Tamandua tetradactyla: one gene and its partner. The protein of the gene in region 1 binds, or shares a complex with, the protein of each later gene. Links are inferred from orthologs where the notes say so. Each region holds a gene or a part of one and is shown in the gene's direction. Other genes may lie near its edges. The genes, in order: POLA1 and PRIM1.

What was found.
Region 2: the proteins of POLA1 (region 1) and PRIM1 are in contact, whole or in part, in a cryo-EM structure (PDB 7OPL), measured with the Homo sapiens proteins. The link is inferred for Tamandua tetradactyla from reciprocal best matches to the Homo sapiens genes POLA1 and PRIM1. Residues at the interface, in NP_058633.2 of Homo sapiens: Tyr439, Ala440, Pro447, Glu448, Lys449, Ser450, Phe876, Thr877, Thr878, Gln880, Leu906; in NP_000937.1 of Homo sapiens: Asn92, Thr93, Val94, Lys95, Leu96, Gly97, Ala98.

The regions. Positions count from the first base shown.
Region 1 is NC_135353.1:149,483,044-149,493,515, reverse strand, and holds the start of POLA1 (DNA polymerase alpha catalytic subunit), read left to right. Parts: upstream 1-5,322; 5' UTR 5,323-5,379; coding exon 5,380-5,422; intron 5,423-9,337; coding exon 9,338-9,462; intron 9,463-10,472. UniProt on the Homo sapiens protein: Catalytic subunit of the DNA polymerase alpha complex (also known as the alpha DNA polymerase-primase complex) which plays an essential role in the initiation of DNA synthesis.
Region 2 is NC_135333.1:123,843,233-123,853,206, reverse strand, and holds the start of PRIM1 (DNA primase small subunit), read left to right. Parts: upstream 1-5,930; 5' UTR 5,931-6,000; coding exon 6,001-6,103; intron 6,104-6,741; coding exon 6,742-6,899; intron 6,900-9,148; coding exon 9,149-9,255; intron 9,256-9,328; coding exon 9,329-9,402; intron 9,403-9,974. Other genes in the region: 17-beta-hydroxysteroid dehydrogenase type 6-like, read right to left, coding at 5,751-5,805. UniProt on the Homo sapiens protein: Catalytic subunit of the DNA primase complex and component of the DNA polymerase alpha complex (also known as the alpha DNA polymerase-primase complex - primosome/replisome) which play an essential role in the initiation of DNA synthesis.

The DNA.
Region 1 (10,472 bases):
CCATGTCCTCTTCATGTCCTCCCTCAATTTATCGATTTCATTTTTGAAGAGGTTTTCCATTTCTGTTCGTATATTCAGGATTAGTTGTCTCAGCTCTTGTGTCTCATTTGAGCTATTGGTTTGTTCCTTTGACTGGGCCATATTCTCAATCTTTTGAGCGTGGACAGTTATCTTCTGCTGCTGGCGTCTGGGCATTTATTCAGATTTCTCTTGGTGTTGGACCCAGCAAGGTTGTAATACTTTTCTGTGAAATCTCTGGGTTCTGTTTTTCTTATCCTGCCCAGTAGGTGGCGCTCGTGGCACACGTTTGTCTGCGGGTCCCACCAGTAAAAGGTGCTGTGGGACCTTAAACTTTGGAAAACTCTCGCCGTCCTGGGGGTTCGCTAGCCGAAGCGGCTTGAGCCGGCCCTCGGTCCGAACGCAGGGCGGGTTGCTGGTCGCCGCAGCCAGGGAAAGAGCCCGTCCGAATTTCCTAGTCGGCCCTGGGCAACAAGTGTGGCGGGAGGGCGCCAGCGGCAGCGGCCCGCCCGAGAGAGTGCACGTTCCCCGGGAGTCACGGGTTTGGAAGGGGCCTCCCCCACCCGTCACCGTTCTCCGCGGGCTGGGGGTTTCCGATCCAATTCTCTCAGTTGGTCCGGGGGCTGCGCGTGGTGTGGGCGCCAGCCGTCTTTGTTTCAGGGGACCGCCTCTCCAATTCTCCCAGCCGGCCCGGGAAGGGGGAAGGGAGTAACTCCGGCCGCTTGCCACCCCGCCCGGTAAGGCCCGCGCGCCTCGGCGATCTCACCCGAGCTGCTTCTCTCAGCCAGCCAGCCGTTCCAGGATGGGGTACGCTGTCTTTTTTATCTCTGTTGTGGCTTTGGGCGCTTTCTGTATCGTTTCTACTCCCCTAGTAGGTGTCCTGGAGAAGAAACTAAGATCCGCGCGTCTTACTAAGCCGCCATCTTCCAGGAAGTGATCAACATATGAAACAAGAAAATGTTTAAAGATGTTTCCCTTTCTTCCTTCCTTCCTTCCTTCTATCCTTCCTTCCTTCTCTCTGTCTTTCCTTTAAAAAAAAAAAAAAAAAAAATATACTGCTTACAGTAGGATTACACCCACAGAAGTGGATTAGATTTAAAAACATGTTTTTTTCTGGGGTTCATATAACTTCAAACTACTACATTAGTTTTATTTTGCAGTAACTTGGTAAAACAACTTAGATCCAAGCACAGAAATGTCTTCAAAGTTTGTTGATCCATTAGGCCATTAATAAAACTTCTCAAAGATGCTAGAGTGACAAGACAAGTAACTTGGAAATTGTTTCACTTCCTCATAACAATTATTTTAATGGATTGCTGGGGGGTGGTTGCAGACATTTTTCTCACTAACAGAAAAACTTTCAGCCTGGTGTAGAACTGTCTTGGCAAGAAACTGAACATGATATGTTTAGTAATTACCTCTATATACTTCCCAGGCTTTTTGCTGTCTGCCAGCAGGCCTTTCATGATACAACATTTTTGTGCTTAACCCTAGAACCCAGTTCCTTGTATTTTTCTCTTTTTCCCTTACCCTTTCACCATTTTCTCACTTACCAAGGTAAAAGGGAATCTTAATTTTCAACTGTGACTCTGAAGAATTTATTATTATTATTATTATTTTATAATTAAAATTTTTTTAAAACATAACAACAAACAAACATGAAAATCTTACCATATGATCATTCCATTCTTGGTATATAATCAACAACTCACTGAAGAAGTTATTTTGCTGGAGAGACAACAAGTTCAAGGATTTTTAAGAACTTTTCCACCTCTAAATGTCCTTGACCATAGACAATGCAATTTGTGATTATAAGAGAAACACAGTTGAACCTCCTGTGAAAATACGAGGAAAATATGAGGAAAAGAGCAACATACAACATTTCCAAACTTTTGATTCAGGAAAATGAAATTAAATATCTTGAAACAAATCTAAGTAGTTAGGAAACTTCTTGCTTGACCTGGAATCAAAACCAAGATTTGGAAATGGCTTTGCTTCTCTTCACACTGGTCTCCAAAGAAGAACAAAATGTAGGGTGGCTCAGTGGAAGTGTTCTGCATAAATGGTAACTTGGCAGAAATGCCAAAGAAAGAAAAAATTCTGTACCACAGTAGTGTAACTGCTCTAGCTAGGATTAGGGAGAAGAGGGTCATGTGTGTTGGGGTGGCATCAAAATCTTAACTAGCCACAAACAATTGGAAATCGAAATTTAAAAAGCAAGACGAATTTATAATAGCATTAAAAACATGACATTCTTAGGGATAAAGTTAACAAAATATGTACAAGATAGATGTGTTAAAAAACTACAAAAGATCGGTGAAAAAAGTTAAAGAAAATAAATAAAAAGAAATAGAAAAAGTTCAGCAGTACCTCATCTAGACCACTTGGTCTCACCCTTGGTGTACATTGGAGTCCCATCCTCAGAAAGTCTGATTTAATAGGCCTGGGAAGCTACTAGGTAATGGAATCCCACCAGGTTCAAAGACATAGCATCAATCCACAGATGACTTTCAGAACTTGGAATCTAATAGAATTTGCCCTGCTGGGGTTCAGATTTGCTTGGGACCCATGAATCCTTTTTTACTTCCAATTTTTCCCTTCCATAATGGGAATATCTACCCTATGCCTGTCCCACTATTGTATTTTGGAAACTTGTTTTCTAGGTTTCACAAATCCACAGACTAAGAGGAATTTTGCCACGGGATGGACCACACCCATCTAGCTGATTTTGATGAGACTTTGGATTTAGAATTGTTACTGAAATGGCTTAAGACTTTTGGGATCTTGGGATGGGGTGAATGTGTTTGTATGTGGGAAGGACATGGTTTTTTAGGGTCCAGAGGGCAGAGTACAATGGATGGAATTGTGTCACTCCCAAAAGATATGTTTGCATCCTAACCCCTGGTTCTATGATTGTGAACTTATTTATAAGTAAGAGTTTTGAAGATATTATTAGTTAAGATGGGCCAATCAGGACTTTCTGATATGATTGGTGCCCTTATAAGGAGAGGAAGTCTGGACATAGAGAGGCAGAGGCAGAGAGAGAGATTGAATTATGCTACCAGCGAAGGAACTTCATGGATTCCTTATCACTGTCAGAACCCTACAGAAGAAGCGTGCCTCTGCCGACACCATGACTCAGACTACTGGCTTACAGAATTTACAGAAACAATACATTTCTGTTCTTTAAGCCAACTAGTCTATGGTACTTTGTTACAATAGCCCTACGAAACCAAGACAACCAGACTGGATATTTATAAGAACACCAAAAGGCCAATGGTAATAAAATTGCTCATTTTAATAGCTGTGAAGATAATCTAGACCAGAACCTAGGGGATTGTGGCAGGCTTAACCTTGGGGTGGTTAAAACTTGGAGGAGGCCTAGAATATGCCAGGTTGAGAGAGGTGTGAGGCTTTGCATGTGCTGGGGTGGAATGGGGGTGGGGGTGAAAGCGCAAAAGCCACTCTCTTCTGCCAGCACTGCTCCCCTGCTTCAAATTGAACTATCTAAGCATAATTTAGAAATCAGGATTTAAAGGATGATTTTGATTACTGAATCATTACATAGACAGTCCTTTTTGCTTTCTGGTATATTGGAGAAGATAGAGGGAAAATACTGAAATCTCTAAATTGTAACCCAGCTGCCTTGATCTCTGATAATGATCGTATGGCCTTTATCTTCTGCCCCTGTGATTGCAAAAACCTTGTGACTAACCTTCATTCATACGGAGTTATCCAGTTTTTAACTTTAGAAGTCTTGTCATTACTAAAGACAGCCCCTAATGTTTATTAATGAAGGGTCTTGAGGCCCAGACCTAACCCACTCCAAGTCCAAAGTAATCTTGAGAACCGAGACTGGATCTAAGCAAAATGGATCGGGTTGACATGTGCAGTAGCTTAGACTTTAACCTAAAAGTCACCTATACATCGTTCTGCCATTTTCTTACACATGTTCTGTGACTAAGCATGTAATCAATCTGTGCATGCTCAATAATTAGATTGCCTCTAATTATATCATCTGGGGCCACTGTGGTCATTATCCTAAACCTCACCCATCTTTTCTATAATAAAACTATCAGAATTGCTGCAGTTCAAGGAGACAGATTTTGAGTCACTACGCCATCTGCTCTCTTACTGTGCACCTAGTAATAAAATTCTTTCTCTCTGAAACCCCGGTGTCTCAGGAATTGGTTATTGAGCACATCGGGTAAATGAATTCACGGCCTTTAGTAACATAACTGAGTTCATTTTGGGGTGATTAAGATAATTTCTCTCGAAGAAGTAAAATACACACTCTGTGTATCATTTTTCCTTTAACTTTTTATTTACGAACAGAAAAGTTTTGCCACATTTGCTTTATCTCTCTTTGCTAGACAATTATGTCACGCCTAAGCATCTCCTTAGAATACGGACATTCTCCTGCACAACCAAAACTTATCACCCCAAAGAAATTCAACACCGCTCTAACAATAGCTTATATTAAATTCCCCAATGTTCTCAAATAATATTCTTTACAGCTTTGTTTTTAATATGCAAGCTCTGATCAAGGCTCAAGTTGTTCTGTCTCTCTGATCCCCTCACCACTTTTTTTGTCTTTCGTAACGTTAACATTTTAGAAGAGTTTAATACAGATATTTTATAAGTTGTCCTACACTTTAGATACGTCTGATTGTTTCCTCACGGTTAGATTCAGGTTTAACGTTTTTTGCAAGATTACAGAGGTGATGTTCTTTTTTTCAAGCGCATCGTATCAGAGGCATATGAGGTCAGATTGCCCCTTACTTATTAGTGACGCTGTTTTGGCCATTTGATTAGGGTCGTGTATATACCTTTAAGTGGTGGCTTATTAAAAAAAAATTCACATAACAACCTTTAACAATGTGAGAGGCAAAGTATCTAGCAAAACTCAGAGCGCACAGCAGGAGGCAGTCGCTTTCCCAGGCTTCTGGAAATACAGTCCGACCACGCCCACTATCCTGCCCGCCCGCGCCTCTTTTCCCAGAAAATCAACTCTCAGAACCAGGGAGCCTCTATTCCCACGCGCCCAAGTCTTTTCCTTCAGCATGCGTGCGCCTGCGCAGCGAGTCTCCAGAGGGCTCCTTTCCAGCGCCCGGCCGCTTCTTTCTCCTCCTCTCCAGCGGCCCCGGCTCAGCTCTAACCTTCCCTAAGGGGTCATCACAGGGCGCCAAACGCGAGCCCGCGGCAAGGCCAGGGGCGGGGCCCAGCGCGGCGGCACGTAAGTGGCCTTCCGGGCGGAAGTCCACAGCCTCGGGAGCCGCTGATTGGCTTTCGGGCTGGCGCCTGTTTCGGCCCCCGCGCCAGTTTCGGGCTGGTTGGCGCGGAATCGGGAGATTCGGAACCATGGCGCCGGTGCATGGCGACGACTGCGAGCCGGGGGCAAACGGTGAGGGACGGCCTCGCGCGCGGGATGTCTAGTTGGGAGTGTGGGGACTGCGGCAGGAGTGCAGGTGGTGCAGATTTTGGGGGTTCTCCCTAATTTTTTTCTCAGGGTGGCGTGGACCACCGTCGTCTTGGGCGGGAGACCTTACAGTATAGGACCGGGCTTTCTTCCAGGGCCATTTGCTTCTAGCAAACCCGTGCAACACCTTGCGTGTCTTTTCTGTTTGGGAGGCTGCTTCACCTCTGTCACTGAGGGTCACCGCACTTGCCCTTCTTTATTTTTATTTCTTTTGGTCACTTGCACCGCACGTGTTGGGCCTATCTTTGAGACTGGTGTGGGCACTATCTTGGCTGAAAGTGTTTCACTACTTCGGTGCCAAATATCCGTTTAAGAGCTAGGATTGAATAGATGTGCGCCCCCCTTTCTAAGAACTGCGAGGAAAATTGTTATGTGTTGTAACTTAACAGGAAAGAAAGCTCTAAGTGCTGTCACTAGATACGAATGCATTTTGTATTTTTAGGTAATGGGTTTCTACTTTATGCATTAACAGTTTTTTCTTTCAGCTTCAGTGCAAAGTTTTTCAAGTGCTGCATAGAAATAGTGTTCACAATCTAGTCATTTCGGGTGAAGTTTCTGAAAAAAAAAATGCACCAGTTGGGCAGCATTTTGGATGCCTTGTGTATCATTCAGTTACAAATGATTTTTTATTTCCAAAAATAGAATAAAAAAATGTAAATGGCTTTGTCTGATTTCTGATTTTTGAACAGTGTTCAACTAAAGTGTGACTTCTTCGCTGAGCTCCTAACTTAAAATCAAATGCTTCACTTTCTTACTCAAGCTTCATATCTCCTGCCACTCAGATATATCACCATTAATGAGAACTTGCTCCCTAATCAGCTTCCTTTTGCATTCACCTAGTTGTGAATCACACATTTCAATTTGTTCTAGCCTTCCGTTTTTTAAGACAATTTATTCTGGAGCGTTAACTGGCCTGGATTACAAATGGGATGTAAGGTGTGAGTGTGTCTTTGCAGCCCTCTATCAGTGATTTGCCACTAAGCCTTTCTTTCTAAAAACTGTACGTCATCCCTGAACATCAAGAAATCACTCTGGATGATACTGTGCAATCTTGAGACCCCTTTTAAGTCATGGTATTTGATTAAGTAGTTGCTGGGCACTTGTGACTGGAATCTTTCCTTTAGAGCAGACTGAACTGAAAGATTGTTGGCTGAAAGACTGTTGGAGGTGAGTCTATCTGCTTTTGGGGCAGATGGTGGTATTATAAATGGTAATTGTGAATCACATAAACTTTTGTTCTTGGGTTTTTTCATGCTTATTATTATTTTTGCTAACTACACGAAACATCGGAAACGTACCCCAAAAAGGAAAATCTAGGCCTTTTTTTTCTTAAGTGTTAGAATGGGGTACCTTGACAATGCTGTGAAAAGTTGAAAGGTCTATAGCTGGCTGCTATTATATATAAAAAGAGACCAGGGAGAGTTTAATGATCAAAAACGCAGATGTAATAGTTCATTTATTTGTTCATCCAGCAAATATTTATTATGTACCTACTAGGCATAGTCATTCTGCCAGGCTCTGTTAAACGGTGGGTAGACTCGACATGGTTTCTGTCCTTAGTGCAGTTGAGATGATAAACATTTAATTATTTGCAGTACTATGTTGAGACTTCCCTGAGAAAGTTGTTTTGCTTTATTTCTGTTTTCTAAAAGCTAGAGCATTGTACTGCCAGGAATGAGTGTGTACATATATATGTATATGTCACTGCCCTGCATCTCTATACACACACGGACTCCTCTTGTATTGCTAGGTACAAAGTAAGATAAGCATCTTCATTTAATCCTTACCAACTTTACAAAGCAGACATGATTATCCCCATTTCATAGATGACGGCGCTGAGGCTCTGCATTAGTCAGAATCCTTAGCGTAAGCTATAGGAACCAATTCTAACTGATTTAAATAGAAAAATAATTTATTAGAATGTTATTGGGGTTTTCACAGAAACTCCAGGAGGACAGGAGAGCCAGTGTGAGGGTTGCTTAGCCAGGAACAGTGCTTAAAATTGTGCTACTAAACTGGTTCAATGAGGAGGTAATTCTCAAATGGCCAGCTACTTGATGCTTTAGCTTGTACCTTGCAGCATTGGGCGTTGTTGCTCCAGACACTCAATCCTCCTCTAACTGTTGCTACTTTCATAATCTTCTTTAAGGCCCCCTTCCACCTCCTTGTGACATTAGCTTCTAATTTAAAGTCTGAGAAGGTGTTTCTAACTAGTAGAGCCTAGTTTATATGCTTCTGCCCTAGCTGCTAGGGAATCTGGGAAAGGGCATCTGGCCTTTTCAGCTTAAGTAGTGGGATGTGGGCTCTCTCTCCCAGCAAGACTTGTCAGGAGGGAATCTCACAACCAGTTTCAGAAGCTGGGCAGCTTAAAAACAAAACAAATCAAGGCTCAGAGAGGTTAACTGGTGGTCTGATGTAGCCCAGTAAATGGCAGAGCTGGGATGTGCTGCTTTTCTAAATCTGGTTCTTCCACTCACTCTACACTCTCACATTGAACTTACCTGAAGGTGTTAATACTGACTTTATCTCTTGGTTTCTGAATACATGCTGCATTTTTATACCTCTAATTTGGGTCATGCCTTTTCTTCTGTTTGTGCCACTTTTTACCCTGTTCTCTAATGGTGAGATCTACTCTTCTTTCTAGGCCTATATTTGAAATCTCTCTGTGAAACCTTTCCTGATTTCTCATGCAGAATTTAATGGCTCTTTTTTCTACATTTTCTCAGTACTATGTTCTTTTTTTCTTTGGTATGCTGCATGGTGGGGGGGGGGGTCACATTTCATTCTTTTTCCATGTTAGTATCCTGTTATTGCAGCACCATTTGTTGAATTTTTGTTTGTTTGTTTTTCCTTTCTTTGTTTGCTTCTTTTTGGGGGGAGGGGGAGAGTGCAGGGGCAGAGTGCAGGGGCGGGGAATTGAACCCCGTGGTCTCCCACATGGCAGGCCAGAATTCTACCACTGAACTACCCTTGCACCGCCCCCCTCCCAGTACTGTGTTCTTATATGGTGCTATGTTTATATTAGGGTGGTAGTCTCAGGTCCTTTTGTTCTACTTGGCTGTGAACCCCTTGAGGATAGGCAGCTCAGTTTTATTTGTAACTATCCCAAACTCTGTTAGAGTGGAACATTGTTGTTTGTAGAATAAGTCAATTTGAAAACCTACAGATTTTGTCAGGTATACTAAATGAGTCAATGGATTCTTGAAGAGTACACTGAGGCCAACTTTTCATTCAATGGTCATGTTCAGATATCTCTGAAACCTTTTCGTGTAGGTCTGCTCCTGATTTTGTGAAATTATTTGAGTGTCACACAAGATTTTGTCATCATCAAGTACCTGCGTTCCTTAATTTTTACGTAATACCTTTCTGAAAATGGATTTAAAAGTCAACTGTGAAAGTTAAACAATAGGCCTTAAAATCTAGAATCACCACAGAGCCTCATTGTCAAATTCCCCCAAACCTCAATCTATTCCTCCTTTGAAACTCCAGGTGCCTTATCTGTGCCTCTGTTAGGGCATGTGTTACTTCCAAATATTGTTGTAGAATCACTTGCTACTTACTGCCCACATTAGATTATAGGTTCTGTGAGTACAAGAACCATGTGTGTTTTTCATCTTTGTGGCTCTCATAGCACCTAGTACTTAACTGGATTTTAACTAGATTTTACCACAAATTTCTGAAGAGTCACAGGAGCTTTGTAGATTATTATACATTATAAAAGTATCCATTTGTATAAAATTAAGATTATTTATTACTACTGGCTAGAAATATTCCTTTGTTTTGAGGGAAGATGACTGACAGTTTTCTAACGTCTCATGTGAATTTGTTTTTTTTTTCCAGCTGTGTCAGATTCTGGGAGTTTTGTAGCTTCTAGATCCCGGCGAGAAAAGAAATCAAAGAAAGGACGCCAAGAAGCTCTAGAAAGACTAAAAAAAGCTAAAGCTGGTGAAAAATATAAATATGAAGTAAGCAAACATTTTTCTATTTTTTTTCCTCCTGTGCATCATCTAATGTATAGCCTGTAGCAGTCTTATGGCACCCTTGGTAACTTATTAATTAGAAATATGTACATATATCAAGCTTGCTAGAATAGTAATTTCTTAATTTTGGACAAGCATGTACTTGAGGTAGACTTACAAGTTCCTGTAAGACACTTAACAGATTATTTTACAATTCCCAAATGAAAGTAGCTATATATTTTTTTCCTTATTGAGCACATTGCATCTTTGGTAAATCCTGTGACTTTGTTGGGGAACTTAGAGGTGCTTTTACTTTACTTTTAGGATATTAAGCAGTCTAGCTAAGCACTGCTTCTCCTTAGAGAGAATTGTTCTTTGCTATCTCATTTGCAAGGGACGTGACAGTGGGAACTTGGACCTTACTTCTGTTGTTATCCTGCAAATAAGGTTGAATATGAGCCTGTTTTGGCCGTTTTTCTTTGCCTAATATGTATGGTCTACAGGTAGAACTCAGTGGCTACTATCTGCACATCATTGTCTAGTTTCACCTTCAACATGCCCCCAGGTATCTTAACTGCCTCTGGGCAAGGAAGCGATTGATAGTAGAAAATAATAACAACAGCAACAACAAATATGCTTTTTTTTTAGCTATCACACTGCTCTAAGGGGTTTTACAAATATGTTAATCTTTGCAACAACCATATGAAATTAGATGTTATGATTAACAACATTTTGTCATTGAGGTATCTGAGGCGCAGAAAATTTAGCAAGGTCCTAGAGTCACCCTTTTTTGAACCCAGGCAGTCTGGCTTCACAATTTGTTTTCTTAATCCTGGCCTATACTATAGTGGGTAATTAAGCAAGGAGAAGAGGACTTTTGTCAATTTTGGGACCATTTATTCATGTGAAGTGCTGCCAGCTAGATCATAAAAGGTTGCTTTAAAAGGATTACGGTAAAGCATATGGACTTTTTAATGTAGGTGCTTTTATAAAGAAGTTTTGTGGGGGGCATTTCA
Region 2 (9,974 bases), on another chromosome or scaffold:
TGCACTGTTTCCACTTCTGAGCTATTGTGAAATGGTTGCTATGAATATGTGTGTGGGCATAAGTTTTCATTTTTCTTGAATAGAAACTTAAGAGTGGAATTGCTGGGATCATATGTTAAACACATTGAAGAACCACCAGATTGTTTTCCAAGGCAACTATATCATTTTACAATCCCAGCAATTTATGAGGGTTCCAATTTCTCCACATCCTCACCAAAACCTGTCATTGTCTGTCTTATGACATCCCAGTGGGCATGAAATGGTCTTACTGTGGTTTTGATTTGCATTTCCCTAGCTACTACTGATATTGAACATCTTCTCAATAGCTTATTGGCCACTCTATATCTTCTTTGGAGAAAGATCTGTTCAATCTTTTGCCCATTTTTTTAATTGAAGTGAAATTCACATAACATAAAATTAACCATTTTAAATGGAGCAATTCAGTGGCATTTAATACATTCACAATGTTGTACAACCACCATCTCTATCTAATTCCAAAATATTTTCATCATTCTGAAAGGAAACTCCATACCCATTAAGCACTTAGTCCATTATAAAGGATGTGGGGAGTCACAGTAAGAACTCTAGTAAAACCTGGCAATCCACATCGCATACAAAGCATGAAGAAGGGCTTTATACCATCAGAGGTTACCCACGCTACAGAAAACCACAAAGTTAATGGGAAGCCCCACCCAATACTGGTCATTCCTTCCAGTAACAACTGGGCTCCTGGCTCTGCAGCTTGGGAAATGTTTGCAGAGAAAAATACCAGATTAATTTTCTCATTTCAGAAATAATAACTGTAGAAACTTTTAAAATATAGAAAAAGTCACAAAAAAATTTTAAATCACCCCAATCTCTTCTCTGTTAACATTTGGAATACCTACTACAAGGGAGGAACCACACTAAAACTAAAAAACAAAGATGAATAAGAAGAAAGGCTCTGCCCTAAGGAAACGAATACCATACAGTGCAACAGGTCCTAGAGAAGAGGTTTTTAAAATGTACTATCATATACAGCAAAAGCAGCAAGTAGTAAATACTAACCACAGTATGATTATATTTATACATGTAAAGTATGATCCCCATTCATATACATTTTTAAAACAGGCAAAATAATATCACATATTGTTTATAAAAAATACATGCGTATAAAAGCAATTGAATGGTACTGAAAATCATATGCCAAATTCAGGAAAATGGTTACCTTCAGGAAGAGAGGAAAGAGTTTTCAAGGGCCCTTAACCGTATCTGAAAAAAAAATACAGAAAATGTAAATATTTGTCAAATCTAGGCAATGGATAAAAGGGTGTTATTTATTCTCTGCATACTTGTAGTAGTTCATAATAAAGATCAGGAGATACAGGAAGACCTATCTCTGAAAGAAGGAAGAAAAAGGCTTCACAAAAGAGGGAAACTAATCGGAAGACATTCATCAGCAGAAAATGGCATTATGAATAGCATGTACGAAACCTTGGAATCATGGAAGAGCATCAGGTAAAGGCTGTTTTATATGACTAAAGCAAAGCTGCAAGGGAGGGAATCAAAGAACTAACTGGAGTCTGATAGGAATGAATCCGGGGAGCCACTGAAGAATCTTACCCCTACAACAGTGGAAAAGATGGAGCAATACTGGAAATGGGGAGAACAATCAGGAGTCTACTGCACCAATCTAAATTAGAGACAATAAGAATCTGGACTCAGGCAGTGGAAATGGGGATGGAGAGGAGAGGACATATTCCAGGAATGTTAGAAATAAAAGGGATTATTAACACCTTAGGGGTAGGAGTGAGGCAGAGGAAGGGCCCACCAACTGGGTTGGTGGTGATGGTGCCAGTAAACAAGTTCAGAAAAACAGGAGGAGGAACCATCTATTCCTTCCTCAACTCCCTGAAGTCTGTATGCTGCCCTGACTATTCCATAAAACAAATCTGGCAGAGGTCATCAGTAACTTCCTGATTGCCCAAGCTGAGTTCTCTTCTCAGTCCTTATCTTAATTGACCATGTTTATCCTTTCACATTTCTCTTGTGCTCCCTTTGCCCCTGTAAAATCATTCTCTCCTAGCTTTCCTGCTTCTACTACCATTCGTTCTCATTGTCCTTTGTTGGTTTCCCCTCCTCTACTCAATTTCTGAAGTCAGTACCCTTAAGATTTTTTTTCCAGGTCCTTCCTCTCTTATCACTGCACACAGCCTCCTTGTTTGGCAATCTCTCTGAGTTAGACACTTGGACATCCCTAACTTCAGTCCAGATCTAGCCCCTCAGATCTAACTATCTGCTGGACATCTGCACTGGGTTCATCCATTTCATTCCGTAAATATAGGGTCCCTATTATGCTATAGATACACAGGTGAGTAAAATAAACATGATATTTGAATTCTTAGAGCTTACAGGCTTAGTAGGGAAAATAAACATGTTCTCACAAATAAATACATAGCTGAACACTATGATAAAGGATATGAAAGAAAAGTATATGGTGCTTACAGGGAGTATCTTAGCAGTACCTCCAACTCAACTTATTTAAAATAGAAATGATACCTCACTGCAAACTGATTCTTCTCCTTATACTCATGTATTTCATATCTGCACATTTATTCAACACATAGAAAAGTTAACTAGTGACTACTGGGTGCCAGAAAACCCCCTTCCATCAGGTTACCAAGCCTGAAATCTGGCTATCATCCTAGACCCCTTCCTGTCCCTCACTCCCCATGTCCAATCAATATTAATTCTACCTCCTAAAGTCAGTTATGTCCACCCAATTCCCTTCATCTCCACTTTTCTACCTTTGTTCAAACCATGAGTACCTCTCACCTGGATTATAGCAAGTTTCCCAGGAGCGCTCTACCTCAGTTGCTCTCTCCCTTCTGTTGTCCTCCACAGGGCTCCATAGTTTATTTCCAGAGTTTACTTCTAAAACACAACTCTGATTATGTTCCTCCCCTTTTTAAAACCTTCCCATAGCTCCTACTGTCTTCACAACAAATCCAAATTCCCGTGGAGGAACAAGGCTTGATGTTGGATTTGAATCTGCTAGAGCCATCCTTTATTTCAAGTATTCTGCAAGAAGAAAGCTAGACCCAAATAGTATGTAGCTTTATGATTTGTCAGAAAAACCTACACGGTATATATAGTGCCAGATTACTTATTATAAGTATGCTGAGATCATTTACAGCTTAGTAAAAACATTCCATTTTCTATACCAAACCCAATATATATAATTAAAGAGCAATTTCAATATCCTGTAAGACATGTTTTATTGCCTTGGTGGTCATCACTTCCTTTGTGGTTAAAGGAAACATTCTTGTGACATTTAACTAAAGCTTTTTTATTAAATGAATATGAGGGTCTCCTTGCTACTTTTCAGTATTTTGTGGTAACAAGAGCCAGGACCTTTCATGCTTAAACTTAGATGGGGGGGGCAGGGTGCAAGGGTAGTTCAGTGGTAGAATTCTCACCTGCCGTGTGAGAGACCCAGGTTCAATTCATGGCCCATGCACTTCCCAAAACAAACAAATAAGCAAACAACAACCAAGAAAACAAAAACTTAGATATGACCTTGATCCCATTTAGATAACCTCCCTTTGTTTATTATACTCTTGTATCAACAGAACATATTCTCTAACCTCCTATTCCTTATCTAACTGAGAAGAAAAATAACTTGCACAGAAATACTTCAAATTTTCAAACAACTTACTTGTTTCAAAAAGATTATTCACTTCCAAGATTTCTCATCAAATACTGATATGATCAGAATTTTATTTTCATTATATCCAAAGCTTAACAAAAGCAGAAGGGAAGTAATTTTTTTCCACACTCCTTAGCTTGGTATGCAAAACCACTGTGGCTGACTCTAAGGATGCCTTCCCCTGAAGTTTGAGCTCTGTCACTAGGGAACTGTTGACAGTTTCTTTCATGTGCCATACCATTAAGACCTTTGACCCTGTGTTCCCTATAACTGCTCTGCTTAGAAATTTCCTCCGTTGCAACCTAGCAAACCACACTCATCTTTCCAGGAGCACTTCAATTCTACCTTGTCTAGGAACTATTGCTGTCCCCTATTTAAAAGGAAAATTCACCACTCATTATTTTGTGATTTTAAGTTTACCCCTTATATATTTCTAGTAAAGTGTGGTGAGGGTAAAAAAAAAAAAAAAAAAAAAAAAAACCACAATAATTATTTTAATAGTTGGCACAGAAATTCTTTTAGGGAGGAAACTTTCTTTAGTAAACTAATACAATTTGTCTCTAGAGTGGAAGGTGATCACTTCTCACCCTTTTGGCCAAGACCAGCTGTAGGAAGGTGACACCTCAGGGGCACAAGAGAAAGCCAAACTGCTCTACAAAAGAACAGGAACCTGGCAGTAAGAAGTTAGTTGGCAGAGGGAGAAGAGATAAGAAAGAGGATAGTCAAGTATGGCTGGTCTTTGAAAAACAGGGGTGTCTAATTCTCCATATTAGATTGTTAATGTAAAGTCGCTTTCAAATTTCTCAAACCTTCAATTAATATGGTACACTCACAATGGTGTGGGTTTGTGTGTGTGTGAAAATTATAGTAATGGGTAAGTTCAATACCTTAGTATTAAGACAGAAAAAGGACAACTTGTGCAAGATGATGAGTAATTTCTTAACTGAACTGACTTTATTCCGGAGGAGGTCCGGGTTACATCTTGAGAAAGTGAGCTCACTGTAGATTTGCAGAAATCTAGACATCATGGACATGCTCCAAATCGTGGACTTGGGGTCTAAGCCAATTTTATCCAAGTCTTAAGGAACATGCTTATGCTAATAGACAGTTGGGTTACAAATACATCCATTACCCTTCATTGCCATATTTGATTTGTGTCTTACTCCTACTAGGCTATAACTTCCTTGATAGTAGATATTATGTCATTAAATTTTTTTCTCCCCAGAGCCTACCAAAGTGTCCAACATATACGTTCATTAACTATTTGTTGAGTAAATCAATGAATTAAAGAATAACTGAATGGACCATACTTTTACCAAAAACACCACCCTTTTGGATGCTAAAAAATATCAAAAATAACAATAGATGTTAAGAAGAAGGGAAGCCCATGAAGACACTTGGGGTGAACCAGTTTGCAAGGAACTTGGGAAGAGACCTGGTGCTGACCAAAGAAGGCCAAAGTAGAGTCACAGAGAATAAGACCTATGGAGAAAGGGGCTTTGCATCTTTGGAAGTGAAAGAACAATGGCCTGGAAATCAGGAGAGGAAAACAAACTGAATGGCAACACTGCCCCCCAGCGGCATTTGGGATAAAGGCCTCATGGCAGAGCACTTAAAGGGAATAAGATGATCAATTTCAAGATTAGGAATATAAATCCAAAATTTACAAGAGACTATTCTCTCCTTCTTCCCTACCATCACTGTGAAAACTAAAATTTATGAAAATGATGGTTTTCACGTGACACCACACTGCTATCATTAATAGACTGCCCACCTCAATCACAATTGCAAAGAGATGTATCTTTACCCGCCTGGCAGATGTGCTACATCAATAGCAAACGGGATCCTTTCACACTTGTAAAGCATTTCATGATTCTCCAGCTGCCTTTAATTTATATTTCAGTAATCCTGGGTGCTCTATTGGCCTCATAACTCCATGAAGAACTAATTCCCAAACCCTCTTAAAATGATATCAATTTTCATTGTTTCAATGTGTACATTTATAAAGTTAGCAAGGAACATTATTTTCCTTCATCTTTAAAACCTAAGCCGATATGCTCACCTTTTGAATAAGCTTTCATCTTTCCAGAATGGTTCTTGACGCTTCCTCTGCCCATTTGCCCTAGTGTGGCTGTCAGTGAGCGCAGACCGCCTCCCGGGCTGACCTCGAAGAGGGAACTACAATTCCCGGCGGCCCCGCCAGGAGGCGGGCCGCGGTCGCAGCGCGCCAGCGCGCCTGCGCCCTAGTGTAAACTCTAGCTGATTCCCGCCAATTCCTGCCCTAGTCCTACCTGAGTTGAGCTCGTTACTCTATGGAGACGTTTGATCCCTCCGAGCTGCCTGAACTGCTTAACCTTTATTACCGGAGGCTCTTTCCCTACGCCCAGTACTATCGCTGGCTCAACTATGGCGGAGGTGATGGACGCGGGGAAGGAGTCGGGTCGGGAGGGAGTGTGAGAAGGTTCCGGGCGGGATGTTCTTGGAATGAATGTTAGGTGTGCCTTCCGTGCGCCTAGGCGTTGTTCCGGGCGCCTTCATGCATTATCTCGAACCCTCACCACCTTTAAGATGGACATGGGCCGAAAGAGAGTATGATAACCAGACTACGACCGCACAGCAAAAGGTAGGGCCGCTGCTCCTACACCACCTGGTCAGGCTCACATTTGGAGCCCGATTTACCTGCTGCGGTCCGTAAACCAGGGGTTTGTGGGATTTTGTAGCCTGAACCTGCAAAGGTGTGATCTGCATCGGGGACAGACCAGTGTCTCCAGGAGAAGGAAAAGTACTTTCATCTTCGCAGCTGATTTCGTTTATTAGCATCCACCAAGGAAACATTATATTGTAAAATATTTCTGCATCTTTTTCCTCATTTTTGTTTTTTCCTAGCAGATAATGGTAAACCCCTTCAAATTAGAGACCAAGTCTTGTGCTTTGGTGTACATCAGCACAGTGTTGGGCACAGGGAGCTCATTAAATATCTTGTTGGTTAATGTCATATGCCCTGAAATGAAGAAAGTACCTAATTAATTCTAAAATGTAAATTTATTTTGCAGTGATAAAGAATTATTTTCAACACCGTGAATTTTCATTCACTTTGAAAGATGATATTTACGTTCGCTACCAATCCTTCAACAACCAGGGTGAACTGGAAAAGGAGATGCAGAAAATGAATCCATACAAGATTGACATAGGTGCAGTATATTCCCACAGAGTAAGGAATCTTTTTTATTGTATTTTGTTGTTTTGCTTTTTAAACCAAGGATCAGTTGATGCCGCCAGCATTTTGGGATAAATTTTTTAGAGTTCACTTAAGTTCAGGGCACTATTAAGGCCTGCTTATTTAGCTTTTGCAAGTAGATTATAATCTTTTGTTCTTTGACACTGTACATTACTGATTGGAAATCAATTGGAAGTAAATTGGTTGCATTCTCACTAGAGCAACAACAACAACAAAAGTGGATATCTGGCTAAAAGACTAGCAAGGAAGGCAATAGTAGGGAACCAAAAAAAGAGCTGTATTTTCTCCCAGCACTGGAGTTATTCCTGATTCCTCTCTCATACTCCCACATCCTTTAGATTAGGAATTCCCTTTGACTGTACCATATATATATCAAAATCCACCCACTGCTACCAGTGCTTCTACCATCATCTTCTCTCACCTGAATTGCTATAAAAACCAAATAGTTTGTCCCTCTGTATTCTGAAGTCTGTTCTCAACACAGGCTTCCGTGTGAACCTGTTAAAGACAAGTCAGATTCCTGGAGCCTGCACATGCCCAAAAAAAAAAAAAAAAAACTTCCTAAAAAATAAAATTAAAAAAGGGTACACGGGTGATTTAATGTTAGAATGCATGCCTTACATGCAGGAAACCCAGGTTCGATCCCCAGACCATGCACCCAAAAATAAATGAATGTATGAATGAATGAATGTCAAGTTCTGTGGTTCCTGTCAAAACTATTCTCCATTGGCTCCTCATTTCATCCAAAATAAAAGCCCTTCTCTCCCCCTGACTCACTACTCCAGCCATACTGGCCCTTGCTCAAGTTTGAGCTAGGCCACTTTATTGGGGAATCACTGCTATCAGTTTTTCTAGATCTTTTCCACTAGGGCAGAAAACTTTGGTTTCATCACTGATCTATTCCTAGGGCCTAGAAAAGTGTCTGGCACTCAGATATTCTTGAGATTTCCTCATAATCTGGTCAAATTCTTCAGAATCTTCCAGTCTTCTGCATGGGTTGTTAGTAGAAGGTTAAAGAAATGGGTCCTCAACATTCCATATGTAAATGTCCAGTTAATCCCCCTAATTATAGTAGAATACTCCTTTGACTGTGCCTGTTGTTCCCCCATGCAGAGAGCCTCTGTTCTACATTCTCCAGATGATAAATTAGGTGTCTATTGCTAGGTCACAGGAAGAGCAGTTTCCCAACTCTGCAAAGTAAATATAACAAGCTTGGGAGCTAACAGATTCTTGAATAGGTTTTGAACCAGTCCTTCTGTTTTTAATCTCAGCCTCACCACCAACCCCCTCCATCATCCTTCACATACACACACTCCAGAAATACCTTTTTCTGAGCCCTTTGGGGATCCTGAGCTATGAATTGGGTTGCTTCTTAGCTCTTCTTATTGATAGTTTAAGATTTGGCTTTTATGAGTCTCCTCAGTTACCACTCCCTTCAGAATTCTAGTTATAAAAATTGTGAAGGTGTTGTCTCCTCTTTGGTTCTTTTTTAAAAGGGTTATGCCTTCTTGAAAAATGCTTTTCTATTGTTTTTAAAGGGATCTGAAAGGAACAGAAGTATCTGTATTCAGTCCGCCTTCTTTACCTGGGAGACCATAGCCTCTTGACTATAAAGGCCCAGTTCAAACGCATTGGGAAGATCCTTTTGAATGACTGAACGTTTTAAAATAATTACGTCTTTATTACTTGTATATACAGTAACAAGTAAAGATCTTTAAAACCCGTTGTGGGGAAAATGGACAGTTCAATGGTAGAATTCTCACCTGCCATGCAGGAGACCTGGGTTCAATTCCCAGCCCATGCACCCAAAAAAAAACAAAACAAATTTGCTGTGGTATGCATATTACATATCTGCTTCTCTGTGTGTGTATTTATACAGAAAAACATGTAGGGAGACACATTTTTTAAAAAAAAACCTTTGTTTTAGGGTATTTATTATTTATAAGTACCTTTTCATATCAGAGACCTGAAAAGTTTCATTATAATTCCTATCAATCAACAAATATTTATGGTGAATATATTTATCAAACTCTTATGAAAATTAATTTGTCATCAATTCTGGATTTGGGGATCCAAGATAACGAAACTTCATTAACATAGACTTAGATTTTATGGTTTCTCCATTTCCCTTTGGCCACTTTTTTTTCTATGTGAGTAGAAAATTAGCAGATATAACAGCATGGCAACTCTTATAGAAACTGATAAATATTTTATATTTGTAGCCTAGTCAATATAATACTGTGAAGCTGGGAGCTTTCCAGGCTCAGGAAAAAGAGCTGGTGTTTGACATTGATATGACAGACTATGACGATGTGAGGAGATGTTGTAGGTAAGCACCAGGTGCCCTGCTGTTGGGGTGGGTGATGTCACTGACAGTGAATAATGATGCCTCTCTGTTCCAGTTCCGCAGACATATGTTCTAAGTGTTGGACCCTCATGACAATGGCCATACACATCATCGACCGAGCGTTGAAGGGCAAGTATCAGCAATATCTGAGTGGGGTCAGATGAATCTGTTTCTTCTGGATATTGGATTATCTGTACCATTTTATAGTATGATTTCTTGAATTTTTAATGTCTCCTTGAAACATATGGTAGGGAAATAAAAGGTTGAAATAAAGTTACAGTTGAAATTCTAATAAAGCTGGTGAGCAAACTAGTATATTTTTACCCAAGTCAGTCATTTATAGGGCAACTCTATGTACTAGGTGCTGTTCCAGATAAAGAAAATATGAGAGATAACAATTCCTCCCTCAATTAGGTCACACACTCTAAGGACACAGGTACATTTGTATTAAGTAATACGCACAGGGTGCTCTGGGGATATAGAGCCACAGGAGTGTATACAGGAATGGGAAGAGAATGGGTCAGAAAAGGCTTCCCAGAAGAAGTGGCTATGATGATGATAATAATGACAGCTGACTCTTATATAAGGCTTACTGTGTCCAAGGTACTGTTCTAAAACACTTGAAATATATTAACTGTTTTAAAATCCTGAGATGAGTCTTTAAAGATATAAATGACAGTTAGTCAGGGAGAAAAATAGAA